Linked DNA regions of Lonchura striata. The protein of the gene in region 2 purifies or fractionates together with the protein of the main gene of each other region. This does not show direct contact. Links are inferred from orthologs where the notes say so. Each region holds a gene or a part of one and is shown on either strand. Other genes may lie near its edges.

Evidence for each region.
Region 1: the proteins of TNS2 (region 2) and DTNB purify together in Homo sapiens (affinity purification with mass spectrometry; 3 studies listed by BioGRID and IntAct, with this or other methods). This does not show direct contact. The link is inferred for Lonchura striata from reciprocal best matches to the Homo sapiens genes TNS2 and DTNB.
Region 3: the proteins of TNS2 (region 2) and DMD purify together in Homo sapiens (affinity purification with mass spectrometry; 3 studies listed by BioGRID and IntAct, with this or other methods). This does not show direct contact. The link is inferred for Lonchura striata from reciprocal best matches to the Homo sapiens genes TNS2 and DMD.
Region 4: the proteins of TNS2 (region 2) and UTRN purify together in Homo sapiens (affinity purification with mass spectrometry; 4 studies listed by BioGRID and IntAct, with this or other methods). This does not show direct contact. The link is inferred for Lonchura striata from reciprocal best matches to the Homo sapiens genes TNS2 and UTRN.

What each region holds. Positions count from the first base shown.
Region 1 is NC_134605.1:113,406,439-113,413,394, forward strand, and holds the start of DTNB (dystrobrevin beta), read left to right. Parts: upstream 1-3,926; 5' UTR 3,927-4,074; coding exon 4,075-4,166; intron 4,167-6,956.
Region 2 is NC_134629.1:4,650,037-4,656,880, reverse strand, and holds the start of TNS2 (tensin-2), read left to right. Parts: upstream 1-3,841; coding exon 3,842-3,907; intron 3,908-5,147; coding exon 5,148-5,259; intron 5,260-5,601; coding exon 5,602-5,639; intron 5,640-5,730; coding exon 5,731-5,769; intron 5,770-6,160; coding exon 6,161-6,256; intron 6,257-6,744; coding exon 6,745-6,788; intron 6,789-6,844. Other genes in the region: EIF4B (eukaryotic translation initiation factor 4B), read left to right, coding at 74-141, 432-519, 613-667, 1,207-1,284. UniProt on the Homo sapiens protein: Tyrosine-protein phosphatase which regulates cell motility, proliferation and muscle-response to insulin. Phosphatase activity is mediated by binding to phosphatidylinositol-3,4,5-triphosphate (PtdIns(3,4,5)P3) via the SH2 domain.
Region 3 is NC_134604.1:107,466,163-107,473,914, reverse strand, and holds the start of DMD (dystrophin), read left to right. Parts: upstream 1-4,725; 5' UTR 4,726-5,446; coding exon 5,447-5,543; intron 5,544-7,752. UniProt on the Homo sapiens protein: Anchors the extracellular matrix to the cytoskeleton via F-actin. Ligand for dystroglycan.
Region 4 is NC_134605.1:49,976,101-49,983,773, reverse strand, and holds the start of UTRN (utrophin), read left to right. Parts: upstream 1-4,652; 5' UTR 4,653-4,653; coding exon 4,654-4,747; intron 4,748-7,673.

The DNA.
Region 1 (6,956 bases), on a different chromosome or scaffold from region 2:
GTTGGACTCAGTGGTCTTGGGTGAACGAGAGCCTCAGTGATTCTGTGATTTAAGAGGTGGGGGGCAAAGGGGTGTCCTGGCATAAAGCAAGCAGGGAGGGAGCTGATGCCCTAACTTAAATTTTTATTTATTTATTAAAACAGAAAGCGACAAAACTAAGGGATAAAGCCCCTTAGTTTTACAGAAGGCAATGGCAAATGTCATCAGCTGGACTTTTACTTCAGGCTTATGTTCTTGTGGAAGGAAGCCCCTTTGTGAGCACAGCTGGAGCAGTTTGGGTGCAGCCAGGCTCTTGAAGCAGGTGTTGTGTGTCTGGCAGCTCAGACAAAGTTAAAGTTATCAGCCCTGTGTAGGTGTTCAGTTCCCATTGCCTGGGGCAGTGGCAGAGAGACTTTTAAATGCAGATTAATGGTTCTGTACTCCTGTACCCTTTCGGTAATATCTAACACTTCACAAACCTAGAATTATTTTAGTTCAGACCTGTGAAGGTGGTGAGGAAGATTTCACACCCTAAGTTAATGTAGGAGGTGAAATTAATGAATTAAAACTGAGCAAGCTGTTTTATCCTGAAGTCAGTTGTGCTGGGGGAAAGCAGTTGCTGTTTCCAGGTGTTCCTCACTGGAATTTCCCTCCTCCCCAGGTGTGCCAGGGAGCTCTGGGAGAGCCCTGAGCTGCCAGCTGTGTGGGACCTGCTCCTGCTGCATCTCCAGTCTGGGGTGATGGGAAAAGGGCAGGAATGCAGCTCAGAGCCCTTCCCAGCAATGCAGACTGCATTCAGAGGCAGCTGCAGAGTTCTCTCCTGTGCTCTGCAAGCAGTGCTGGGGCCTGTGGGCTGGGATGGAGAGGGGAGGCTTCGCCAGCTTCTCTTAGAAGCACGGAGTGCTCAGAAATCCCCTCCACAAAAAGTCTTCCCTTCCTGAGAGGGAGGGGTAAGCTCTTAATTAGTCTGTGTCCAACTTCTTACTGCTCAAAAATCCTCCTGCAGTATTTCCTTTCTCTTACCCGACAGGAGCACTGCTGTATTTCAAGGAAACAATTTCAGCTGCAGGATTTGCTCTTGTTTGCTCCTGGTAAATCCCATAGCAGACATTAATTTCAACAGGCAGGTTGTAAAAAGCCGTTTCTACTCCTGAGGCTGTGGGACAGTGAAGGAAGATGAGGGTTTGGTTCTGGTTTGGGTGTTGTGGCACTGAGTGTGCTGCCAGCTCTGCGCCCTGGCTGTGTGAGCTGGAGAACAGAGCTGCCTGTGCCAAATCTGTGCTGAGACACTCCGTGCTGGCCTGCAGGGCTCCTGGGGCCAGGCTGAGTGCTTCCCTGGGGAGTGAAAATGGATCCAGAGGGCAGTGAGCTTCAAACAGCACCTTGGCAGCGGGGCTGGCACCTCAGTGCCACTGCCACCTCCCCGTTCTTAGCCTGACCTGCAAGTTCCTCAGGGATCCTCTCTCTGCTCTGGGCGCTCAGCTGACACTGGAACTCAGTGCTGGAGCACTTACTGACACTCAGCTGGGACTTTGGGAGTTCCAAACCACCTGAGTTTCTGTGACTTGATGTGAAGTCACAGAAACTCGGGTGCTTTGGAACTCTCCTGGATTTGAGTTTGTTCTGTTTTGTCTGGAGGGAACCTGTGTTAAAAGTTTTGGAAGGCTTTCAAAGAAACCTCTGATTAAATATTGTGACTTATGCCATCTTTGTTGAACTTGAATCCAGTACAACCTTTATCAGTTTCTGACCAGGTGAGGTTGTTGGGCTTGCCCTGGGGCTTAGAGCAGGGGATTTTTTCTGGAATCACAGAATGATTTCAGTTGTGAGTCCAGCCTGTGAGTGATCCCCACCTTGTCCCCAGCCCTGAGCTCTGAGTGCCACATCCAGGAATTCCCTGGATACCTCCAGGGATGAGACTTCACCACCTCCCTGGGCAGTGCCAAGGCCTGAGCTCCCTTTCCAGGCAGAAATTCCTGCTGCTGCCCACCCTGAGCCTGCCCTGGCCCAGCCTGAGCCCATTTCCCCTTGTCCTGTCCCTGTTCCCTGGGAACAGATCCCAAATCCCCCCCTGGCTGTCCCCTCCTGGCAGGAGCTGTGAGAGCCACAAGGTCCCCCTGAGCCTCCTTTGCTCCAGGCTGAGCCCCTTCCCAGCTCCCTCAGGAACTCTCCAGCCCCTTCCCAGCTCCTCAGGAACTCTCCATTCCCTTCCCAGCTCCCTCAGGAACTCTCCAGCCCCTTCCCAGCTCCTCAGGAACTCTCCATTCCCTTCCCAGCTCCCTCAGGAACTCTCCAGCCCCTTCCCAGCTCCCCCAGGAACTCTCCATTCCCTTCCCAGCTCCCTCAGGAACTCTCCAGCCCCTTCCCAGCTCCTCAGGAACTCTCCAGCCCCTTCCCAGCTCCTCAGGAACTCTCCAGCCCCTTCCCAGCTCCTCAGGAACTCTCCAGCCCCTTCCCAGCTCCTCAGGAACTCTCCATTCCCTTCCCAGCTCCTCAGGAACTCTCCATTCCCTTCCCAGCTCCTCAGGAACTCTCCATTCCCTTCCCAGCTCCCTCAGGAACTCTCCAGCCCATTCCCAGCTCCTCAGGAACTCTCCATTCCCTTCCCAGCTCCCTCAGGAACTCTCCAGCCCCTTCCCAGCTCCCTCAGGAATTCTGCAGCCCCTTCCCAGCTCCCTCAGGAATTCTGCAGCCCCTTCCCAGCTCCCCAGCCCCTCCTGGGGCTCCGTTCCCTTCCCATCCTGGGGTGTTCCATGGGCTTGCTGTGACCCCAGTGCAGGACCCAGCTCTTGGCCTGGCTGTCCCTCAGCCTGGCACCCAGCCCATGGCTCCAGGCTGTCCTGGTCCCTCTGCAGAGCTCCCTGCCCCCAGCCCATCCACATCCCACCCCCCTGGGGCTGTCCCTGGGCTGAGCCAGGCTGGTGCCCTCCGTTCCCGTGCCCAGGATGTGCCTCCATGCCCAGGTTTTTCCAGCCAGGATGTCCCTGTCCATCAGTGATTTTCCACCCCAGTAACTGGAGGCACTGAGGGCTCAGTGGGTTGTGCTGCCACCAGCTTTGTCCTGCCTGAACAAACCCGATGGCTTCTTGTGCCTTGGAAAAACCTCTCAGTCCCAGCAGGAATGGCAAGGCACGCAGGAGGGCAGGCTTTAGGATTCAGCACTGTCTTTTTTCCTGAGCTACTGAGTTGCCTGTTCATTTTTAATGAAGCTTCCTGCATTTTTTTGGGCAGGTTTTTGCAGAATCTTCCAGAGCAGCTTTGGATCCACTGGATTTATGGATAAAAAAAGGAGCCATTGACTTGTTTAGAATTTCACTGCAGAGCTGTAATCACTGGGAAGTTACAGTCCCTTTCCTGGCTCCTGGCCATGTGGGTTTTTCCTTACACCCTCTGAGGCCGGAGTCAGTTTGGGTTTGCAGAGATCTTGCACAATCATCTGAGTCCAGCACATGTGAAAACATCAGTGAGAAATCCAAACTTTTGGCTTTTGGGGCAGCTGCTGCTGGAAGGTGCACGGTGGCTCCCAGAGATGCTCCTGTACTTGCTGGAGATGCAGAAATAACATTTTAGGGTACTTTTCATACTTTTGTGCACAGCTGCTTTTGCTTCAGTTACTTATGCTACAATTGGTGTCTAAAATGTTAAAGGTAAATGAGAAGAACTGTCAGAAGTGGTTAAAATGTGCTTTAAAAGATGTTGTAGTCTACTTGAATGGAAGGTTTGTCTTTTCCAGGGGTCAGATGTGGTCCCCTGAAATCACTTTGAGGTCACTCCTCTTCCTGGGAAAAGGCACAGGGGAACAAACAAAGAGTATTTCAGATTTATTATGTTTGACTGCTGAGGAAAGGGATTGGGAATATGAACCAGGAGAACAAAGAAATGAGTAAGAGCATCAGATATTTTGCATAGACAGAGGGAGAGGAGGGGATTAAATCAGTAATTGTGGGGTCCTTTTTTAAATTAGGAAAGAAAAGGAAAAATACTTCATGTTTTTATTGAAATCTGAGATGAACAAATATAAGCACCTTTATATCATAAGTAAATTTAATTTTATACTTTAACAAAACATTTATGACAGTTCAGAAATTATTTTAGATGGGTTCAATGAAATGTCAGACGAGCTCAGAAGCCCAAAGCAAGGAAGTGCCAAAGCAGATGGACACCAGTAACTTTTTCTGCCAGCACAGGTGTGCCCTCCCTTTTTATTCAATATCTTCATCCCAGCTGTGTTATTTATTAAAGTTACATTTTTAAGAGTGAATGCACTGGCAAGGGAGGAAAGCTTTTCCTTGAAACAGCAGGAATAGTTGTTCCTTCTGATCAGGAAAACAGCAGAAAGTCACTGAACCTCCTTCCCTGTGTCAAGCTCAGATCAGCCCATGCCCCAGACTGGCTTTTGGATTTATTTTAATTACAACTTATTTCTGACCATAAATAGCTATGGGCACAATTTTATCTTCATGCAGCAACTGCAATTTAATCAGTGACATCAAATATTATTTCTGCTAATGACATGCAACGCCAAGAATGTGAACCAAGTCAGATTTAATAATTGGTAAATGAACTTTTCTTTCTGTGTTCCTGCTTTGGCCAATGAGGCTGTGGCTCAGCACGAAGCAATGTTTGGAAGTGGTTCTCAAACCCTAAAGGTCAGAATCTCCTTTGGAGTGTTCCTTAAAGGTGGAAGTACAGAATGAAACAAAATGAACTTGGAACAAAACAACTGCAAAGCCAAACTACAGCTCCTGAAAGTGGCTGTGCTCAGCTGGGGTTGGGCTCCTTCTCCAGGAACTGACAGAGCCAGAGGTCACAGCCTCAAGCTGTGGAATTCCAAGGGGAATTCAGGCTGGATATTAGGGAAAAGTTCTTCCCAGGAAGGTGATAAAGTTCTGGGATGGCAGCCCGGGGAGGTGGGGGAGTCCCCGTCCCTGGGTGTGTTTAACAAAGCCTGGATGTGGCACTGGGTGCCAGGGATGGGTTGAGGTGCTGGGGCCGGGTTGGACTCGATGGTCTTGGAGGTCTCTTTTAACTTGGTAATTCTGTGAATTCTGGGAATTTTGGGAATTCCCAGGGACTGGGGAGGTGGTGGAGTCCCCATCCCTGGGTGTGTTTAACAAAGCCTGGATGTGGCACTGTGTGCCAGGGTTCAGTTGAGGTGTTGGGGCTGGGTTGGACTCGATGGTCGTGGAGGTCTCTTCCAGCCTGGTGACTGTGTGTGTGATTGTGTGTGACTGTGTGTGGGACTGTGACTGTGTGTGACTCTGTGATTTTGTGTGATTCAATGGTTTTGATTGTATGATTTTGAGTGACTCTGGTTCTGTGATTGGTGTCACTGTGCGTGATCCTGATTGTGTGGTTGTGTGTGATTCAGTGATCCTGATTGTGTGTGACTGTGAGTCTGATTGTGTGTGACAGATTCTGATTGTGTGATTGTTTGTATTTCTGTGATTGTGATTCTGACGGTGTGACTCTGATTCTGACGGTGTGACTCCGATCCTGTGTGTGATCCAGTGATTCTGTGTGATTGTGATCCTGTGTGTGACTCAGTGATTCTGTGATTGTGATCCTGTGTGTGACTCAGTGATTCTGACTGTGACAGTGATTCTGTGTGATTGTGATCCTGTGTGTGACTCAGTGATTCTGACTGTGACAGTGATTCTGTGTGATTGTGATCCTATGTGTGACTGTGATTCTGATGGTGTGACTGTGTGTGATACAGTGATCCCGCGCATGACTGTGTGATCCCGTGTGTGACTGAGTGATCCTCTGTGTGTGACAGTGATCCTCTGTGTGTGACTGTAATCCTGTGTGACTGAGTGATCCTCTGTGTGTGACTCTGTGATCCCGTGTGATTGGGATCCCGTGTGTGACTGATCCTGTGTGACTCTGTGATCCTGTGTGACTCTGTGATCCTGTGTGACTCTGTGATCCCGTGTGTGACTGTGTGATCCTGTGTGTGACTGTGTGATCCCGTGTATGATTCTGATCCCGTGTGATTGGGATCCTGTGTGTGACTGATCCTGTGTGACTGTGTGATCCCGTGTGTGACTGTGTGATCCTGTGTGACTGAGTCATCCCGTGTGTGACTCTGTGATCCCTTGTGTGACTGATCCTGTGTGACTCTGTGATCCTGTGTGACTCTGTGATCCCGTGTGTGACTGTGTGATCCCGTGTGTGACTCTGGGATCCCGTGTGTGACTGATCCTGTGTGACTCTGTGATCCTGTGTGACTGTGTGATCCCGTGTGTGACTGTGTGATCCCGTGTGTGACTGTGTGATCCCGTGTGTGACTCTGGGATCCCGTGTGTGACTCTGGGATCCCATGTCTGATTCTGATCCCGTGTGATTGGGATCCCGTGTGTGACTGATCCTGTGTGACTGTGCTCCCCGGTGTGAGAACAAGCCCGTCCGCAGCTCGGGGGTGATTGCCTGAGCACAGGGCTGTCCTTGGGCTGTCCTTGGGCTGTCCTTGGAGCTGTCCTTGGAGCTGTCCTTGGGCTGTACCTACAGCTGATGAGCTCCAAGAAGAGCGGAACCTGCTAAGCAAGGTCCTGTAGTATTGGCCTGAACCCGGGAGCGCCTGCAGGGAGCCAGGGGGCACAGCCGGGGTACAGCCAGGGTACAGCCAGGGTACAGCCGGGGCACAGCCAGGGCACAGCCGGGGTACAGCCAGGGTACAGCCGGGGCACAGCCAGGGCACAGCCGGGGTACAGCCAGGGTACAGCCAGGGCACAGCCGGGGTACAGCCAGGGTACAGCCAGGGTACAGCCAGGGTACAGCCAGGGTACAGCCGGGGCACAGCCAGGGTACAGCCGGGGCACAGCCAGGGTACAGCTGGGGCACAGCCAGGACACAGCCAGGGCACTGCCGGGACACAGCCGCGGCACAACCAGGGTACAGCTGGGGCACAGCCGGGGCACAGCCGGGACACAGCCGGGGCACAGCCGAGGGGCACAGCCGGGGCACAGCCGGGGCAC
Region 2 (6,844 bases):
CCACCATTCCTAGGAATGGGGCCATTCCAGGGACCCTCCTGATGCCCTTTCCCCCCATTTTCTCTCTCCCCAGTGGGGGCTCCCCTGGCCCCTCCCCCCCTGGAGATGATGGGGGCCCCCCCAGGACCCCCCAGAGGAGAGGTAAGACTAGGAGGAAGGGACTGGGAAAGCTTGGGGTGGGTTTTGGGGATTTGGGAAGTCTTGGGAGCACTTGTGGGGCTCAGAGGGTGTTAATGGGGTGTTTGGGGAATTTTGGAGGAGCTCAGGGCTTTCCAGGGGGCTCAGGGGGAGGTTGGTATCAGGGGATCTGGGAGGGTTGAGGAGTTTTGTGGGGGAGTTTAAAGGGGTTCAGGGGGTTCCAGGGATGTTGAGGCCTTGCTGGGGGGTTCAGGGGGTTTTGGGGCTGTAACCCCCCGACCCTTTCCCTGCAGAGGAGCTGAAGCCGGAGGGGGGTCGGGAGAGCAGCTCCAAGGGCCGGAGCTGCAGCCGCGGCCCCACGGGAATGGGGGACCCTGAGAGGTGAGACCCTCCCAGAGCCCCCTCCGGAGCCGGGAAACCCCCCCGGGCACCGGGAATTTCCCCGGGCATTGACCTCTGACCTCTGTTCCTCAGGAGGGACCCCCGGAAGGAGCACGAGCCAAAGAAACTGGAGGAGACCCCCCCCTCCGTAAGGATCTGGGGCACCCAGAACAGGGGAGGGACCCCCCTCAAATCCCGGGTTTGGGGGGTTTTGGGGAATTTTCACCATAACTGATGCCCTATGCCTCCAGTTAACAGGGAGGGCTGTAACTCCTGTTCGGGGTGAGTGAACCCCCAGGGGACTTCAACCCCTCAAATCTCATTTTTTGGGGTATTTTGGGAATTTTCTGCTTCACTGCCCCTCTCCCTCTGCCCACCTTCACAGTTCAGCCTTGAACAGTCTGAAACTCCCTGGGGGAGGGCTGTGAACCCCTCTTTTTGGCGTGCATGACCCCCTGGGGGTTTTCATCCCCTTCAAATCTTGTTTTTTTGGGAGCTTTGGGAGTTGTTTTTTTTCAACAGTGACACCCCCCTGGCCCTCCCAGCTCAAACACCCTGGCAATTTTGGGATTTCTCTGACCCTTTCTGAGGGGCTGTGACCCCCTGGTTTTGGGATGTGTGAGCTCCTGAGGATATTTATCCCCCTCAATTCCCATTTTTGGGAATTTTTCCTGGTTTTCCCCGCAGTTCAGCCATGCCAGCAAATACGCCGCGCTCTCTATGGATGGGGAGGATGAAGGTGATGATGAAGAAGGAGCTGAGTAGAAACTTCCTCCCCCTCTTCCTCCTCCTCAGCTGCTGCAGGAACCTCTGGAGATTCCCAAAAATCCCAACCTTGATCCAGGCGAGACAGAAATAAAGCCTAAAACTCATCAATTCCCTCAGCTACAGCTTCTTAAATCCTGAAAACAACCCCACACAGAACGCACGGGAATCACCCCAAAATCAGCACAGGGAGCGGGAGGGGTAATTCCAAGAGTTTTCTTGAAAGAAAAGCAGCTCCTCCCTCCTTGTTTTCCATGGAATAAGGGGTGAGGAAGAGCTGGCCTTCATCCTCACTGGAGCCCCTCCAAAACAGGGATAGGGAGGCAACCAATCCCCCCCAAATCCTCCGGGGTCTGGGATCCCCCTCTGCCCCCCTTTTTCCTCACCTCTGGAATGTTGATTTCCCCCTGGGCACCTTCATCATCCTCCTGCTCACAGGTGCCCCTCCAATTCCCCCACCCAATTTTTGGGATGCAAATCCCACCCTTTACACAGGAAAACCTGAATTTCCACCCCAGAACCTCAAGATACTCCGAGATTTTGGGATTTGGGGTGGGCTGTAAAATTGTGTAAAAAGAACCTTCCCAGAGGTTTTGGGAGGTCCTGGGGGAGTTTTGGGGTCCCCAGGGGGGCGTTTTGGGGTTCTCCCCCAGGTTGGGGGCTGTTTTGTTTTCTCCAATAAAATGAGCTGAAAAAGATCCAGAAAGGCCCCAGATCTTTCTGCCCTTCTCCTCTTCACCTTGAAGGGGAACAGGGCAGTTCCCAAAGCCCTCCAGGGGGAATTTCCTGTCCCGACATTGGCCTTCCTCTCTCTGGGCTTCCTTTTTCTTTCTTGCATCCCTTCTTCATTCCATCTTTTCTCCTTCCTCATCCTTCATTCCTTTCTTACTGCCTTTCCTCCTTCTTCATGTTCCTCCTTCCTTCCATCCTCTTGCTCTTTCTCCTCTTCCTCTTCCACTTCCTCACTTCTTCACTTCCTCCTCCTCTATCATTGCATCTCCTGCTTCCCCTTCTCCTTCCTTTTTCCACCTCATTTTCTTCCTCTCCTTTTTTCTTCTTCTCTGTCCTTCCTCTCATTGTTCCTTCTCCTTCCTCCTTCCATCTTCTTCCTCCTCATCCCTATTTCTTCATCCTCTTCCTCCTCCTTTTTAATTTTTCCTTCACCTTCATTCTGATTCTTCTCTGCATCCTTCCATTCTTACTCTTCCTCCACCCTCCGCTGATTAACGGTAATTAATTTGGGGTAATTAATTGGGGATGCAGGCACATCACCGAGCCCCGGGATCCCACCCCCTACCCCCCGCCCTTCCTCTTTCCCGGCTCTTCCCAACCGCTGGAATGCTGGAACCCGCCTCCCCCACCGCTGGAATGCGGCCCCCCCCGGGGCGGCTCCGGCCCCACAAAGGGGGGTCTGTCCTGGCCAGGGTGAGGGGGGAGGACCCCAAGGGCCGGGAGAAGGGGACCCTGACAACCCCAACCGGGAGGGGACCTATCAGGCCCCTCAATCCCCTCTACACACCTCAAGTCCCTCAAACCCAAATCCTCTCCCTGCACCCCAAAAACCTCTTCCCCAATTCCCCTGCTGAACCCAAATTCTCTCCCTGCACCGCAACCCCCCCTGCACAATAACCCACACCCCAAACCAGCCCTGCACCCCAAAACCCTCCTTGCACCCTGATTCCTCCCCTGCAACCCAAAACTTCAATAACCCCCACCCCAACGCCCCCCAAAACCCCCTCTACCCCAATTCTTCCCCTTGAAACGAGCTTCCCCCCCAGGAGTCTCACAAGGGAGGAGTTTGGGGTCCCTGCACTCCCTGGGGACCCCATCCCGGGATTGTGTGGGGTCCCTCGAGCCCCTCCAAACCAACATCCCCGCCCCGAGTTTGGGGGTACCATGGGCTGAGGATCCCCTTTCCCAATGAATCTGCAGGTCTCGTGGCGGGGGGGTCTCAGCTTCCCCCTTCTCCTTGATTTTGGGGGACCCCATGGGGTGGGTCCAACCCCCCCTTTTTCCCCGAGTTTGGGGGTCCTGGGGGGCCGCGGCGCGGGTTAGCGAGGGGGCGGTGGGAGGAGGAGGATGAAGAGGGGGCGGGGGCAGCTCCAGGAAACCGTCGGGGGACTCGGGAGGAATTTTGGGGGATCCTGGAAATGAGACGGGGAAACTGAGGCATGGTCGGCAGGGGGCGGTGTCATTCCGTGTGTCCCCCGTGTGTCCCTCTCCTTGTCTCCCCTGTGATCCTCCCGGTGTCCCGTGCCGTGTCCCCTCCGTGTCCGCCCCGTGTGTCTTCTCCGTGTCCCCCGTGTCGCCTCCTTGTCTCCCGTATGTCCCTCCTGGTGTCCCCTCCCCGTGGCCAGACGTGTCGCTCCCGTGTCGTCCCGCCCGTGTCCCCCCCGTGTCCGTGTCCCCCCCCGGCACGGGAAGCGGCTCCGGGCTCGCGGAAACGGCCCCTCCCCGCGCGCCTTCGGCCACGGAGCCGCTCGCGGCACCCACGGGCAGCCCCGAGACGCCCCCCGGGAGCGCCTGGGACCCCCCGAGGTCCCCGCGGAGCCCCCCCATGAAGCCCCCCGGGGCCGTGGGAACGCTTCTGCGCGCGCTTGGCCGCCGCGATGGCCCCGACACGGTAGGACCGGGGCAAGGTCCCGGTGAGGGTGGGTGAAACGGAGGTTTTGGGGGAGTCTGTTTATTCCGCGTACCGCTTCATGGGGGTCCCGCGTAGGGTGGGGACCCCCCGTGGGGAAGCGAGGGCTGGGTGCGGGGGCAAAAGCGGGGGAACCCCCCCGTGGCGCCCCCGCGGGGTTCCCCCGCTGTCCGCTCCAGCCGCCCCCTACCCACGCGTGACGCTGGGTGACCGGGGGGGGGAAGTCGAGTCTGACCCTCCTCCCCCCCCTCGCCGCCCCTCCCCATGTTTTCTCATGCTCACCCCTCGCCTCCACTTTCCCCTTTTCCCCCATTTTCCCACTTTTCCCCGTTTTTCCCGCGTCCCCCACCGTGCCCCCTCCCCCCGCACAGACTCCCACGCCCCTCCCCCTCCGTGGGAACGGCGGGGTCGTCCCAGGGGTCGCCACTTCCCGGGCTTGTCCCTGCCCGCTTCCTGCGGGACTCGATGTCCGTGGCCGGAGGCCAGAGGGGCCGGGGGGGACACGGGGGGGACACGCGGGACGACACGAGGTGGGGGACACGGGGAGGCACAAGTGGGAGTGGGGCTGACACGGGAGCGACGAGGAGTTACGGGAGGGACAAGCGGGGAGAGACGAGGGGACACGGGGGACGTGGGGGAGTTACTTGGGGGACACGGGGGTGGCACGGGGAGTGACATGTAGGACACAGCGGTGCCATGGGAGAGCACGGAGGTGACGCAGGGACGACATGGGGGGGACAGGAGTGGGATCCGAGAGGGGATACAGGGGACACAGGGGAGGACGGGGAGGGGGACACAGGGGAATACTGCGGGTGACAAGAGGGGGACATGATAGGGACACATGCGGGGACACGCGTGGCGTCATGGAGGGACACGGGTGACACGGAGGAGACGCGGTCAGTGAGAAGTCATGGAGGGAACATGGAGGGACACAAGGAGGGACACGGGTGACACCGACTGACACCTGAGGACGCATGAGGGGACCAGAGGAGGACTGCTGTATACAGGGGGGTGACATGAGGGGACACGGAGGTGACGCGATGAGAACTGGGTGGGACTGGGGCCGGTACACAGGGGGGTCACTGAGGGGACCCGGGGAGGCCAGGGGGGGGTTCACAAAAGAAACACAGAGGGTGACACGAGGGGACATGGAGGGGAAACGAGAGGTGACATCGGGGAGGACATGGAGGGGACAGGCGGTGACCGCCCCGTGTCTCCCCAGCCGAGGCCGTCCCCAGCCGCCCCCCACGCGTTCCGCGAGCGGAGCCTGCGCCGGGGGGCGCCCTGTGGGGGCTGCGGGACCCCCCTGGGACCCCACGGGCTCGTGTGCAGAGGTGACACCCCCGGGACAGTCCCGGGACATAGGGAGGGGCTGGATGGGGTGGGGAGGGGGTACTGGGGACAGTGGGGTTGGGACTGGGAGGTTACTGGGGCCAGTGGAGGTACTGGGGGCGCTGGGAGGGCACTGGGAAGTCACTGGGAGCATTGGGGGGTTACTTGGGCGGTTACCGGGGTCACTGAATTGGTCACTGGAGGCAGTGAGCGGTTACTGGGAATACTGGGAGGTTGTTGGGGGCAGCGGGAGGGTATGGGGGTGTATTTGGGGCCCTGGGGGGACGCTGGGGAAACCCTGAGGGGACCCTGGGGGTTTCTGATGTCGCCGTTGTCCCTCCCAGTTTGCAAAGTCGCCGCGCACAAGAGATGTGAGAGCAAGGTACGACGTGGGGCGGGGACGTCACCCAAGGGCGGGGGGGGCCCATTTGGGGCTGGGGTCCATTTGGGATGATCCCCGTGTCCTCCTCCAGGTGACGTCACCGTGCCAACCTCTGCCCCCACCGGAGCTGGTGAGTGGGGGGGGGGGCGCGACCTCCCCAGAGCCGCCGGGCAGGACCCGAGACCCCTCAAATCCCCCTCGAGACCCCCAAACCCCTCGGGCATGACCCGAACTCCCGAGGCACCCCCGGGCAGGACCCTCTGAGCTCCCCTCGGGACCCCCAAACTCCCCGGGCAGGATCAGGGACCCCACGGAAGGGCTGAAACCATCCCAAGCCCGCCCCGAGCAGGAGACGGGACCCCCCCCTCGGGACCCCTAAACACCCATGTCAGGATCCGGTACCCCCGATATTCTCCCTGGACCCTGAACCCCGCAAATCCCCCTCGGGACTCCAAACCCCGCCGGGCAGGCCCCATCCCCGGTGGTCGGGCCCCCCCTCAGACCCCGCCGTGTCCTTCCAGAGGCGGAACACGGCTCCGGTGCGGCGCAGCGAGCGCGTGGTGAGACCCCCGAAACCCCCAAAACCCCCTCGACTCACTGACACCCCACCCCTCCCCGTGATCCCTAACCTCCCCCGGGAATCCCCAACCCCCCTCCCAGGACCCCCCTAAACCTCCCCCCCGGGACTCCCAAAACCCCCCTGATCCTCCCCAGGATTTGGAGACCCCCCGATTCCCCCTCCCGACATCCTCATGACTCTGCGGTGTTTTGGGGACCCCTCTGACACCCCCCCTTGCCCCCCCCCACCCGTCCCTGACCCCTTATGAACCCCCCAGACCCCCTCCCGACCCCCCTCATGTTTTGGGCACTTCCCTGCCCCTCCCCTTGACCCCACGCGGGTGTTCCGGGGACCTCCCAACTGCCCCCGCCCCTCCCTTGACTCCCTCGACCTCTCCCAGTTTTGGGGACCCCCCCTGACCCCGCCTGCCTTGGCCCCTTCTCCGCCCCCGTGTTTGGGGACAGCCCTTAGCTCCCCCATGTTTTGGGTGCCCCACGACCCCCTTTTGCCCCCCCTCGTTTTTGGGGCTCCTCCGGGACCCTCCAGGGCTCCTCGCTCGACAGCGCCCCCCAGCGGAGCACCCTGCCCAGGTACGGGAGTTTGGGGGTGCTGAGGGGGGAATTTGGAGGTTTTGGGGTGCTGGGGG
Region 3 (7,752 bases), on a different chromosome or scaffold from region 2:
TAGATCTGGGTGGTTTGGTTTTGTTTTTAATTAATTTTGGCATTTTTTTTAAAATTGCTGGTACATCTGTTATATGTCATTTTGTACATGGACTACAACTGTAGAAAGAATGAACAAATTAAGGTGCTTAAGTCAGTAATTATTTCAAGCTCAGTACTGCTGAACTATGCATTTTTTCTGGAGAAGTCAAGGTATGAATGGCAGGAGGTTAAAGCTGGGTAGCTCACATCAGTCTGATTTAAGATGAGCTGTAAGAGAACAAAGTACATGTTTATGTAATTAGCATGAACTTCATGTCACTGCTCAGTTTTGTGCTAACAGAACATACAAGTCTTCCTTAAAGTGGAAGATTAGCAGCACTTGATGAAGAGTTCAAAGTCACTAATTCTCTGAGTGTTAAATAGGGAAACTGTATGTTTCTGCTTCCTGATGTGTGCTAAATATTTGGAGAATGAGTTAACCAGATTTATTCTTTCTTGCTAGAACCTACTGTTTTAAATTCAGTGTCACTGAAATACATATGCTATGTGAGAACCAAATGTAGACTGTATGTTGGCTTATCTGTAGACGTAAGCAGAGGTTGACATTAAAAATCCTCCGTAGTTACTGCATGTGAGAGATTATATTATCCACATTTGAAGCAGTGTTCAGATGACTATATCACACAGCAATATTCAGAATTAATGTAGAGTATCCACTTTTGAGTATGCCGTGCTCTGCATCTCAGAAAACTGTTTCTGTAGCATTTTTTGTGAATAACTTTTTAATGTCCTGTAGTATGAAATCCTGTTCTTGCTGAAGAAATCACTGCTTATTATTGCTGTAAGTACATCTGTAATAAAATTTTGAAAAAAAAATTTACAATAAACATGGTCAATCTTATTTCAAAAGGTTGGTCATGAATCCTCCTAACACATTTTGAGATCAGTGTGCTTTGAGCTTTCATCTTATGACAAATGCCTGAACATAGCTGAATTTCATATACCTAAGATTCAGTTCAAAAAACAAAGGTGAATTCTGCACAAAAATAACTGGATAAACTATGGTGCAGGGGAGCAAAAATTTTTAAATCCCTGAAAGTTTCAGCTCCTGGGATGTCTGTCAGGTTCCTAGCTGGATGACTTGGGACATACACATATCAAACTTCTCTTTGGCCAACACCATGGTCCTGTTTGGATGATGAGGCCTCTGAACCTTTCCATTGGAAAGGGCTTGTAAACATCCATGTGGAGAGGATGATGGCACTGGCCTTTTGGTTTATAGAGACATGACTTTTATGCATTTTTAATTTTCAGTTTTTCATACACTTGTCTGTAGTAATTTTTTTTTTAAATCTTGAGCAGTCAAAGCCACATTTGCTGAAATTGTCCGAACTTATCCTCTCCAAATGATTGAAATACTGCCATAAAAATGAAAGTACTGATTTGTCTAACTATATTGGAAAGTGACTGTTTATGCACAGATTACTCTTGTACATCAGAAATCCTATAATTGAAAAGTAGCTAATATAGAATGATTAACAGTAAGAAATAATAATTCCTGTCTGTGTTATCCAAACAAACTTCCCAGTGCTTTTATTTGAGGCGTTTATTAATCTAAACATGCACAGTATATCATTAACGTATTTTCTTGCATGATTGATCGATTGAATTAGTTGTTCACTGGGAGAGGCATGAAGTATCTAAGTAAAATGGGAGGCAGGGAAAAAGGGAAGAGAAAGTGACTTTCTTCAGGAGATATATTAGCAAAACAAATGAACAATATTTGCTAAGCAAGATCAGCATTCATTTCTGCATACTGGAGAGAGTTCATTATGTAGAGCGTCATGTAGAGCTGAAGGTCAAGGCCAATGTGCTTGCTTCCTGTTTTTCAGTGATCCATTATTTGCTCTTGCTTGGTCAGAGTCACTGGTGCTTCCAAAGAGGAAAAACAAAAACAAACAAACAAAAAAATGGCTTCAAGAAGAGGCTCTACAGATACCTGAGTTGTCACTGTCATATGCACACACCACCACAATAGAAATCAAGCACCCTGAATGCACCAATCAGTCCCTCTAGTAGCAGTGAAACAATTAAAACAAATAGATATGTCATTGCCATAAGCTGTAGATGGATAGGAAGAGACTTGTCACCCAAATAGGCTGGAGTTTCTTTGCCTACTGAGTTTTCAGTACCGTAGAAAGCAAAATGCCACTTGATGAGTGTTTTTCCACTTGTCATTTATTTCTGCTTATTCCAAATGGTTCTGTATAAGACAAAAAATTATGTATTTGTATTATTGTAGATTCTGGGAGTGCAACCCATGGAGCTTTCTCTCTAAAGCAATTCATTCCATATGGGTGGGTTGCTATAATTATATCTATGCAGATGCTGAATCCACTTACAATATGCAGAAACCACGGCTGTTGTTTTTGCAGAAAAATGCAGAAAAAGCTAGAGAAAAAAGCCAGCTATTAATCTGGCCTGTTAGTATGTGGACAGAATGACTGATACTGGTTTCCCCTCCCAGATTCTCCATTTATCTCTGGGCTGTTTTTCTATACAGTTAGTGTGCACAAAAGATACAAACATTGGTGTATTTCAGTTTCCTTCTCCTCCAAAAGAGATAATTAATAATATTTGTTGGTTTTTTTTTTCCCCAGAACAAAAATAGTTACTCCCCATAGACCTGATGTGTCTGGGAACGTCTGTGTGGCTGAACTGTATCCCATCCACTGTATGTGTGCTGTGTTGCAGGGCACTAATACTGAATGGTGAACCACAGTGGGTCCTCCCCATAATGCCATGCTTATTTGTCTGGAAATGCTCTTCATCAGTCCTTTATTTCCCCCTCTTCCTTTTTGTAATTCAAAGATATCTGCGTGGGATAGGAGTCTGGTAAAATATATTTTGCCACACCAGATGCTCCCATTAAATTTTCATTACTATATGTCTTACTAACATATTAAATGTTTTTCTTGATATTTTAATCTATAATCTTGCACATCTCAAAATCTATTGAATTAGAAATTTAGCCTATGTTGAGTTTTTGGGTACTTTAGATATTCTCTGCAAATACAAGCTATATGATATATGTGCTCAAACTCATCTGTTGTGAAATACCATATAAATTCCTTCTTTCTGTGTCTATGATTTAGAAATCGTAATGCAGCTAGAAGTGTGAAATATTAAGCATATCCTTTTATCTACTTGGAATTGATGGTGACTTCAAAGTTAGTCCTCATTCATTGCCCGGTTTGTTTCACTTCAGCAATGGCTTGAACTGTGAACAAAAGGAGCTGACAGTATTTTCAGATGGGCGCTTTATAGTTGTGCACTTTGCAACTATATGGTAGGACTATCTCTGTTGCCTTGAATGCAAAATTAGCTTGTTGATACGTGCTGCTACAGACAGAGGAACAGATGTAGTAATTCTACTTTATTTACATGAAATCTCTAAAAAGGCATTTTCTGGCAGCATGCTAGGAATAAATACAGCATCACATATAGAAACGGCGCCATGCTATGTTAGCTCCTTCAGGTGTCAGCTGTGCCATTTGGATGTGGGCGAGAGCAGGGAGTCAGATCCCTCCCAGAAGGGCTGGGAGATTTTTCACATTCTGCAACCCAGCAGCAACCTGCCCCTCAGCCCAGGGTCTCTGCTGAGTGCTGTGCCAGGGGTACCCGCTGGTAACAGCCCTGTGGGAGTCCTAGAGGAGGATATCAGATGTTCTGAATTTTTATTTCTATTTGTTTTTCAAAATAGGAAACCCTCTTACCTTGTTTCCTGGATTGTTTTTGGGATTTAGGTTATTTAGTTTGGATTTTGTTTGTTTCTTTTGTTGTTTTTGTTTGTTTGTTTGTTTATTTGGAGGGTTTTTTTTGCTTTGGTTGGTTTTTATTTTGTTTCTCCAGCCGCCTGCCCCCCCCTCACCATTTACTGTCTATGACTTGGATCTCCCCTGAGCTCATGCTTTCAGGCTCATTTTTCACAGCCAAGACCTTGTGGAACTTAACTGAGATTCGAAACTTGTGGGGGAGGAAGGGGCTCATAGGGTGGGGAGGGATTGCAAACCACAGAAAAGTTCAACATATATAATCTGAGTAAAGAAATGAGGCTTAAGTCTATGAGTCTTTTGAGCCAGGACTACAAGAACTGGTGAGTGATGCTGAGCTGGCAGCTGCCACAAGGGAAAGCTTTCCTGGGGGACTCTGCCTTTTCTCCCCTTCCTCTCTCCTCATTTGCCATTGTGCAAAGGCTGAGGAAGGATGTAGGTATTACTCCAGTGGCAGTCCTTGCTCTCCCCTCACTACTTCAGTCAACTATCAGGTTTAAGCCAGGCTGTTGCCTCTATTGAATTGTCCCTTCTTTCACTCACAAACTTTCCACTGTGGGGTTGGGGTTGTTTATTCAGCTTATGAGCAACCAGACACATTAAAGATGAAATGCCTTGCCTCTGAACTGCAGGCAGAAGTGGTGGGAGGAGACACAGCTAATTTGACTTGGAGGATGATTGATGTGTAGATGTCAATTTCTATTAATATTCTTTTGAAATCACTGACGCAAGCGTGTTTTTCCCCCACTCAACAGAAAATATAAATAGAAAGACAACAAAACAACCCTGTCCCTTTAATTCCTGATACTCAGAAACAGTTAAGCAAACTCTGTCATTTGAAAGTGTCCTCCACAGGCTGGCAAAAAGCAGCTTATTGTGGTGTTCTTACCACTTTAAGAATATCAAGATGCTGTAACAGAGCTATCTACTTACTGTTAAAATGTATAAAGAACAAAAAGCAAGTGTCACTACAGATAGGCTTAGATAAATTGCTTAAATATGTACAGCTCCCTCATTAGACAGCCATTCATTGCATGAAAAGAACTAAATGCATTTGTTGAGGTGTAGCTATAAAAGCCATGTTCAAAATGAACAGAGTTGAGAGCCTGAACGCACAGCACTGTTATTCAGAAGTAGCTTTCGAGCAGAGAGTTTCAACGGGAAGGTGCTGTTTGGTTGGACACAAATCAGCAAACGTTTAGCTGAAGCTGAATAATTTGAGCGTGCATGAAGAGCTTCCTGAAGAGAGAAAAAAACGCAAGAATAAAAAAAAAAAGGAAAACCTTCAAACATTTGCATCAGCCTTAGAGGACAATACAAGCAGCAGGATTTGAAACAGATTTACAGATGCACTCTCTTTAGGCAGGGAGAATGCTCATTAAATGCAAGATGCTTCTGTGGCTCGTGGGCTTGCACGGAGGTAGAGGTTTGCAAGACTGACGTATCAGATAAAGTCAGAGTGGTTACCACACCGACGGTGTAGCAGCTGCATAATAAATGATGGAGAGAATCATGTTAGGCATGCCCACCTAACCTAACTTGAATCATGCGAAAGGGGAGCTGCTGGAATTCAAATAGACTTTCTGGTTCCCAGCAGTCGGCAGTAATAGAATGCTTTCAGGAAGATGACAGATGCAGGGGAAAGATGCTGTTTTGCACTATCTTGATTTGTTACGGCAGCCAACTTATTGGCATGATGGAGTGACAAGAAAAGCAGCTGGCATGGAAGGTAGGATTATCAAAGCTATTGCATCATTATGAATGTAATTAGAAACTGACCATGACAAAGCATATGCTAGAATGAGCTGTCACTGATGACAGAGGATTTGTTGCTGAGGTCTTGAAACTCTGAAAACAAAATTCCTCGTGCAAAATGGATTTTGCAGTTTCATTTATGCTCGTGTTACTCTTTCTTTCCTGCTTGCCTGCAAGCTCGGGGAATTGCTTGCTTGAAAGAGAGTGTTCTGTTAGGATGAGACTGAAGAATAAAGTATTTTCTAAGTCTCTGAAGCCTCAGGTAGATAGAAACAAACAAATGTGAAACAAGACTGGGAAAAGCTCCCTCCGATTCACTAGCAAGCTCTGATTGATATATTGGTATATTGAGGAATTCCAAGGAAATGAAGATGCATGTACTAAATGCTCTGGTATAACAAAAGGATATTATTGCATGTCTCTGCTTTACAGTTAGTTTTTATGACAGGTTTTATTCCCCATCAGTTTTTAGCTCTTGACATTTATCCGGTTGTTCAGAATTATATAAAGAAAATACATCAATATCTCCTGCAGGGTTTCTCAACAACTCCAGCATCTGTTTCAGCTATTGAACTGTACTCACGTTTTGCCAACTTGATGCCTACCCAGCTGGTCTGTCATTTCTCGCTTGATTACTGTTCCTAATTTCTCTGTATCAACTTGTTTCAGATAGGGTTCTGAAAACTGTTAATGAGAAATGACAGTAACTGCTTAACTGTTGAGATCTTGAGTATTCTCTTATTTTTAAAACATTAGAGAGCATTTCTGTGTGCATTTTATTAAATTCATGTTCTGTGTTGCACTGTGAGGTTTTCATATAATTACTGAATTTAACTGTGAATACTTTAGGTGGGTCACAACCATAACTTTTAACTGAATATTTTGAGAGAGTTTGAGAAAATTTACAGGTGTTTTCTTTGGTGTAGGTATTGTATTATTACATGATCCTTCCTCTTGTCCACCTCACAACATATATATTCTCCCTGTCTGTCACGGTGAACAGTCATTAAGTGCATATTGTACATATTGAAATATATTTTATCACCACTAGGGTGAACCGGCTGAGCAGCTCTGAACAGGTGATAGGAACAGGTTTAAAACAGACATCAGCTCTACAAGAGTGGATCGCCCTCGATTAGAGAGGTGAAAGTAGTGCTTTGTAAATGTAAGGTATTCTCTTTCTTCCTATTCAAAGGTTCAACAACCACTCAAACACTGCTTGATAGCTCACAGGTTATGATTATGTTAAATTACTTGGATTACTTTACAAAATGCTTTCTTCTATGTAAACTCCATTCTTCATTAGAATTTTCTTCATTAGAAATTTTTTTTCACAGGTGATAATCAAAAGATTTCTTGTCAAACTGGATATTCACTTTTCTGACTTTATCTTAAATTACTTTATTGGCTGTACTCTGTGTTGTCTTGTCAACAGGGATCAGGCTATTAAAGACTAAATGTTGCTGAGTAAAACTGTAACAGTTTTAGAAAGATAGATGTTTCTAGATACATAGCAGTGAACCAGCCTTTGGAAAGTTTGAATGTAAGGATCAGTAAAACTAATAGCTGGTTGGTGTTATTTAGCTTCTTGTGCATTTCCCTGTTTTGATCATTTACAAGAGACATTTTAAATTATTTTGTAACTGCTGGGAGGGGAGATGTACTCATTAACAGAGAGGATCACTGTAGGGTATGAATAACCAGAAATAGTTCTGTAGTTTTGCTGATAATAAAATAAAATAAAATTTTATTCTGTTTCATCGAAGTTCAATTAAATTTAACAATACTTTCTCATTGTTGATCACAGTGAAACCATAGAGAGAGAAACCTCTATAAACAGCTTAAGTCTCATTCTCCTTTTCAGGGTAGCAGTAAAACTGTTTTATATTGCATATATTATATCTTTATACTCCTGAATCTGCTTAGTCTCTTCACGTCTCCAGAATGCTGGCTGGCAATCATCATGCAGTAGTTACTTAAAATATTCTTTTCCCTGTGATGCCAGTAATTGTAACTTCATGCTGTCTGTGGCCATCACCCAGCTGACAAGAGATTTTTTTAGTTTGTTTCTGTTTTCTCTCTAGTATTTGGTTTTAGCTTTCTCTTTCACTGATGAATTAATAGGACACTAGGTGGAGCCAGCTGTTGATTATAAATAGATCTACAGTAATACAGGCCTGTCT
Region 4 (7,673 bases), on a different chromosome or scaffold from region 2:
TCTCCTGTGCTTGGACTTGCATGCTGTTACTCAAGGCTCAGTGCCTGGGCTTCAGCTGAAATGCACGTTACATCCCAGCATATGAGCACACAAATGTTGAACAGTGCATCTGTCATAGATTCATTAGGATTTGGTTTATAAAGGTACCTGTGAATGGGCAGGAACCTTGCTTTGGAAGATGTGCTCAGCATTTTAAATGACAAGCAAACTGCAGAAGGCTCCTACTTTTCCTGTGGACCTCCTATGAGTCACTCCTATGAGTTGCTGTAAACAGGTGGCCTGGGATGATTTGCAAAAAGCAAGTACTGTTTGGATGTGGCTGGATTTTACAGGTGTGATCATAATGTAAGCAACACTTTCCAAAGATTAATGTCCTCCATAGATTTCCCTAGTATTTACATTCAAAATATTCCCTTTTACAAAAGGAAAAGGGAAACTGTAAGAAGAACATCAAAAAATACCAAAATTATGGTGATTCTTGAAAGGCATTACAATTTATGTACAGTTGCTACTATTATTTCTTTTGCAGGATGAGTCAGTTATTTGTGGCAGCCAAAGACATGCAGTTTTATGAGACCCATGTGTCAAGTGCCTGAAGCGCTGTGTGCTGGAAAGGTTTGTGTTGGAGCTGCCTGTGAGAGCACTGAGAGAATATCTCTCTGTTATCTGTACTGCAGTGCTCCACTAGCCACCACACACGCTGTTCCTCTTCCACAGTAATGAGGGCATCTACTGTATTGATAATGTTCTTTTCAGTAGAAAGCTTTATGCTGACATGAACCTGGCTGTGTGAAACAAGGTTTCAATAGAAATGCTAAAAACTCATTGTTCTCATTTTGAATTTGCTGGTGTTGTGGGTTTCCTGGAAGTAAGGGATAAGCTAATAACTAGTTTCCATCAAAATGCAACAAGCATTTGAATCATTACTTTCTGTTTTAAGTTTCTGTTGCCCCTCCACCATCCTTCTTAGCATCTCCTTTGAAGCTCTTGTTTGCTTGCTGAAACAAGTATTGTGTGGCCTGCTAATTCAAATTGTGCGGCAGGCCAGCTAAAAAAGTTGTCAGGTTGTTGTGGTGAAATAAAACATCCTGAACAAAATTATGGGGTGGTAATCCCAGAGCATGAGAAGCTCTTAACCAGATGCTCATTATAGCAGTATTTTAAAGGGTAGAACTAGCCAGGTAACACAGGAACCTTGAGAAAGGCTGAGCTTCCCCTCTAGGAAAACGCTTGGCTCTCACCTTGGAGAAGGAAGGTGAAGGAGGAGCTCTGTACCTCCTTGTTCTGCTCCCATAAGAAGTCCCTTAGATTTGTTTTTTCCTCTGCCAAGAACCCAAGCCTTTCTCTATAGACTAGTTTGGAAAAGTGGAAGTTCAGAGCAGGGCTACTCAAGGCCTACTTGGAACACAGCTGGAAGGAGACAGGCTGTGAAAAAGAAGCCATTTTCCTCTTCTTAGAGTCAAGGCATTCAAAGCTCTTGGAAGGCTCCCAGAAGGCAAAGAAGAAATGGAAACCAATTTCATTATAGATTGTCTTACATACAGGGGAGTTTTAGAATTAAAGGATGTTGCCCTCTGGTCCCATTGTTGTTTGCCTCTGTGACCTTTAATTTTACTCTGAACCCTGTGCTGACTGTGTATATGCTGGGGCTGTGATAGAAAAGTGAACTTAAGTATTTATGAGCTCACTTTTAAATGAATGAATACAGTTATCTGAGTTTTTTCCCTTTTCCCCCCAACTCTAGGTGGTTTTTTGCTTTTCCATTCCCTGCTCTGTGAACTAAGATATAGTTAAGTCGTGCTTCACAGATAAAGTATGGAATTTAGACCTACTCTTCAACAAGGGCTGAATTGTCATCTGAGTTCCAGTCCTTCTGTAAACTATTACAGCAAGCTTGTCATGTGTTGAGTGTAGCATTGTTCTTTATGCTTTGTAATATATGGGCAAATATAAAAAGACGTGATTTCTAATTATTAGGCTTCTAGTTAGGCTTCCCTCTACTTCTGTCTTCCCACAGTAGTTTCAGCTGGTCTTTTCTATCATACATGATAAGAAGCCTAGGCAACCAGCCAGCTGCTCTGGAACTATAATAGGGCCAGTGGCATGTACAAAATTTGATTACTGCTGTCAACACCAGAGAGAATAGAAGAGAGCACGTACTCCAGTCAGAGAGCTACTAAATAAATGTTGAATTCAGTAGTAGTAGAAATAAGACCATCTTCCTCGTAATGAATGAAGTAGTTTATGGGTAGAGAGTATACTATTGAGCTCTGGAGTTAGGTTAAAATATTTTTTAAAAAGTCTTCCTTTGCAGCCTTCAAAGATTACTTTGACCAGAAATTTCTATTTCCCTTCTGTTTATCTGCTCTTGCAGCTAATGTATGGATTTCACACCCAATACTGCAGATATTCATAGAGACCATGGTTTCACTTTTAAAATTTAGCTTAAAAATATTCCTGCCATCCTAAAGGTAACTTATTTGCACATGGGTTCAGATATGAAACTATTTCATGCTAGTAATTCTATTTCTGTTTAGGCAAGAGATGTTTGTTTTTTTTAATTTAAACATAGTGTAACAACCCCCCACCTCCCCCTCCCCCCACCTTAAGTTAATAAATATTCTCAGTGTATATTCTTGTTGAAATGTTGGATTTTTGAGGTAAAACCTGCTGTTAGATAAAAGTGTTTTCTCTGATGTTCATGGCGCAGCTGCTGGTGGCAGGCAGAGCTTGAGGGCTGAGCTTCTCTGGAAGCTCTGGCGCATGAATGATTTACTCAGCTTTGCTAATACCTTCACATTGAATGCAGTTCAAGGGGTCGGTGGAATCAGAGTGGTGTTTCTCTAACTGCTCTCACTGACTGCAATCACTTCCTCCTTTGAGAATTGGTAAACCCAGAAATGTTGTCACAGACTAGCTGACTCGTGAAACTTGTGCTTATTCTTCAGTCTTGCCAAGTGTGGGTGGGCCTTGGAGCAGCAGGGACTAAGGTGAGGTAAGGTATTGGATATACAGGCGAGCATTCTTAGGGGATTCAGACCACTCTCATCTCAAAACTTGAAAAAAGGAGCATGTGGTGCTGTTGGTAAGACTTCTGGCATATGTGCAGGTCTGTGTGCTAATTCTCATCGTTTCCTTGGTGGAGATGGTCGCATCTTTGTTTTATGCTTGGGAAGTGCTTGGTGCACAGTAAGGTTTGTATTTGTATTTACAAAATACATACTTGTTTGTTTCTAAAATAGAAATTCTAACTTTAAAACTTTTATTGCCTTTCCACTTTGGTCTTGTTAGCATGGTTCACAGAAATGTTTGGCTACAAATGTCTGATTTAGCCCCCTGAATGTATGGTTGTCTTTATTCATGGAAACAAAACTCCTTTTGTGTGAGGCCTTTCAGCCTTCAACTTTGAGGAATTCTTGAATTCGGGGAAAAAACATCCAACCCACAAATTTAAGTAAGACCAACTTCTGGCCCACAAAAATTTAAAGAAAGATCTAATCTTGATTTCTTCCTCCTTCCCTTCTCTGAATAGTGTCTGGGGTGTAATACTGTCCTGACTGGATATCAATGAAGAGAGGAGAGCTGTATCAAGAACATTTGTCTTATAGCATGATACAATGAGACAGGCAGACAAATCAAACAGCCTCTATCTTTCTGGTTTTGAAACCAATTCTATGGTTTAGAACTCTTTTCTCTGGTTATAGTGCCTGTACTTGCGTGTTCTAGCTAATCTCTTCTTGCATTACTTTGTTGTGACTTTTGGAATTCTGTACAGTTCAGAATCCAAAAGTGTGGGATATGGAGTGTCTTGCATAACTACAGCATTTGGATTCTTCTTAATTTGGTTATAGAGATGGCAACAGGCTTTGGAAGACAGAGGGATTCAATTTGCTTTTTGTACTGGTGGTAAGCAAAATTTAAAGACCCACTTGAAAATAACTCAGATCTTATCATAGCCCTGCATTACCAACTTTTTGCTTTACTGTTCCTTGCTCTGTCTTGTTTGGAATTACTGCACAGTGGAGAGGGCATGCCTAATCAGAGTTTGTAATTTTCTACTTGTACAACTTCCTTTATGTGCTATAATCTTATGTTTAAATTTTCTTGTGCTTTTTTGAAAGGCCATTTAAAGATGTGGATGCTTACTTTGAAGAGTTGTTCTGGTTTTATGTTCTGTTGAATGTGTGAAAAAAGTGTTATAATGATACTGCAAACTTTTTACAGAATGAATGCTAAAAGTATTTAGGATATTTAAAATGAGTATGGTGCTTGACCAGAGTTTGATTTGAACAGAAAAGGAAAGTTACCATCAGCTTTCCTATTTTCAGTTTGTAGAATTTAACTTGCCTGTTCTCTGAAAGCTGGTGTCATCCTATTTTCATAAGGAGTAGCAAAGCAGCATATTTATCTGATTTTAAAGAGAAAAGAAATCTCAAGTAGCTGGACGCCTGTGACTTGCTAACGTGCAGCCTTTTTAAAGGTTTATTTCCTGACTGGTTTTGTCAGTCACTGTGTGGCTGAATGTGTCAAACCCTCAGAGGAAAACCAGTGCTTCCCTCCCCCTAGAATCCCAGCATGCAGTTCTTGCGTGGGTACTAGCGTGTACTTCCTCTGCATCTTCACTTTCCTGTTATTCAAAAACTGAGCTTGATCATGAGCGTTCAAACAGCCAAAAAAGTTGTATGGAAAAAGTACAAGGTTGCTGCACCTCGGCATACTGACCAGCAGACCTGTTATGCTCCGCTGGGTGAGTGCTTCCCTGTGTTCTGAAGGCTGTGGTAGATGAAAAGATCCAGGCATGTGGGTCTGCTTTTATCATCTACATTTGATGAGAGCTGCTTTTTTTAAATTTGCAAAAGTTTATTTACTCTAACAGAGCAGGTCGTGGAGGGCATGGCAGGAAACAGAGTGGGGAAAGGCTGTTTTCTGTGGTGCTGCTCCATTGAAAGCGTTGTGTGAGCTCTGGCTGCGTCACACCTACAGACACAAGATCCTCTTGGTAATTAATGCTTGTGTTGTGGGCTTCCCTTTCACCTACAACAGTGACTTGTTCATGGCAGAAATTTTAGCATCATTCTGTCTGCTTGAAAGTCTTAATGTCCCTAATTTTCTTAAACTATGCATTAAATTCTGGTGACTTCAGCATTTACTTGTTTTGAGTCTTTAAAGTTCTGCCTAGTGTGCCTTCTGGTACTTCTGAATGTAAACTTAGAGCAGGTCCTTGGCACCTCACAAGTTTTTCTTCTCATTTTAGTAGTATCTCAAAAGAGCCATATTTCCTGTAATTTGGAAAGAATGTTTTGTGGAGGGATGCTTTGAAAAAGAATAAACTTGGGATATTACTCTTTTGTCCTCGTTTTGGCATCTTTCATACCTATTCTGATTGAAATTTCATGGGTTGTCTCATCTGTTTTTTGACTGGGCCAAATAACACAGATTGGCAAGGAAATGACAATTTGATTATTCGTAGTACCTGTGAATATGCTATGTAGGTACAGTAATTGACAGATGAGAACTGTTAATTTTGTGAATTGGTGTCAGAACTTTGAGAAAGCAGAACCTGTTGATCAATAAAGAATTTGGTCCACTTGACTTTTAATGTGGGTTTTTTTACAAAGCTGGAATCTGAAGATAGGTTTTTAGAAAGAGAAACTACAATCCTCTGAAGTTGTATCAATGTAATGACTAAATTTAGAATAAAATGATGGGCTGGGACTCTGATTTCACATATGTTTGCTTCTAGAACAATGAGGTAGATTTGGATATATGCCAGTTTAGCTGAGAGCAGAAAGTTTTCCTTTGTAGCTCAGTCCAAACTTCCTTAAGAAACTGACAAAAATGTTAAGAAAACTCAGTAATGTGAGTGGAGTTTCTTTTGACTGACTCTGGAGAGCTGAGTAAATTATAGGTTAGAGAGATGTAGTGTTCTTCAAAATCTGCACGTATTCAGCCCTCAAATGTGAGACATCTGCAGTTGATCACTCTTGGAAGGTTAGCAGTAGGAGAAAATCAATCTGCTTCGTTTTTAACCTCAGCTGCTGTTCATGGAAGTTGTTTGTTCTGGCTTTGCGTGTACTGGTGTAGGTTTTTTTGGACTATTTCTTGGGGTTTTTTTCTTTCTTCTTTTTTTGTTGTATTTTTAGAAGAGCGTAAACTTGGACAGGAGTTATAACCAGCCATATAGTTAACTGATGAGCACTGCAGTTGTGAAACCTCTGAAATGTTCATCTGTGGGATAATAGGAAGGTCAATCTCTCTGCGGTTTTATATCTCAATCCTTCACATCTTTCTAACATGTAAGTGCACACACTTAATATTTGGTAATGTCTGTGTGTCTATGGATGATTTCTCTGGCACTTGCTCCAGGTGGCTAGGCTAAGGTGTGAACCTCCCAGGTGATAGCAGCTACATGCTTGCTCAGGTGCTTTATATGATTGAGCACAATGTTTACTGATTGTTTCTTAAAGCCTGTTTAAATCTGAGCTAAGCTCTCACTTCTTTTAAAATAACATAGATCATGGCCGGTAAATTGCAGTTATAGTTTTTCTTAATCAAGCAGCAAGATTTTTTTCAGGAAATTTATTCAATTATAATCTTTGTAACTGTTCATAAAGTGTAGCACTGTAGATTTGCTTTCCAAGAGAGTCATAGTCCCACATTTATTGTCATCTCACTTTTTTAAAAACTCTATATTTGGAGTCTGTGAGAGGTGTGGCTTTGGACACTTCTTAGTGTGTTGGAAATGCACACAGGAGGGAAAAACTCTGAAAAAAGCTAGAAGGTAAGAGGTGTGGAAAGGAAAATGAGGAAAAAACCTGAAGGTAAAATAAGTCGTGGGGGTGTGTGTGTGCACTATGATGGAGAGGCCATTTCTGAGAGGACAGGATTTTTAATGATGCAGTACTGGAAATACTCAGGGAAAAAAGGGGTGGAGAAGTTGGAAGGGGTGTGTATGTAATTGTTTCTTCATGTCCTTTGCTTTTCACAGAAATCTAGAATACAAAAAAAAGGGACACTTTTCAGTCAGCAGAGGTGTGGCTTTGGCTTTTTTGGTTGTGTGCTTGCTGTGGGAATTGGCAGGGACTGGAGGAAAGGAGGTTGAAGCTCATACCTGATAAAGTATCTGATAGTAAATGAATTAGTTTGGGTGAAACCAAAGTGGATAAGACTAACTTCTGTTCTCTGAAGCCTGGAGAGCACACTAAGTTTTGTCAAAGATTGATTTATGGCCTAAAACATACTAAATAACTTAGCTCATCTGGTGCCCATCTTTATAACAGTCTATTCTCTCTTAATAACCTCTTAAACTCTCTAGCTTGTGACAGGCACTGGGAGTGTGGTAGCATTGGTAGGCTACTGGAACCAAAGCTTACTCTTTATATAAGAGGAGAAAAAAGAAGGGATCTTGTACTTTCTTTTGTCTGTTCAAACAAAAAGGCTTTCTTCATTGCTGTTCTATACTAAGGGAGATAATGTGTGTTCTTCTAGTAAAATTTCTGAAACTATTGCAGGAAAATGATTGGGCTATTTTGTGTTGACATATACACACTTTACTGTTGTGGCACTATTTGATGTGATTATTTAATAAAATGGGGCTTTTTTTTTTGCCTCAATTGCCTAATTACCCAGATGGAAATCACACTGTCATTGCAGGGAAGGCTACTTAACCAATG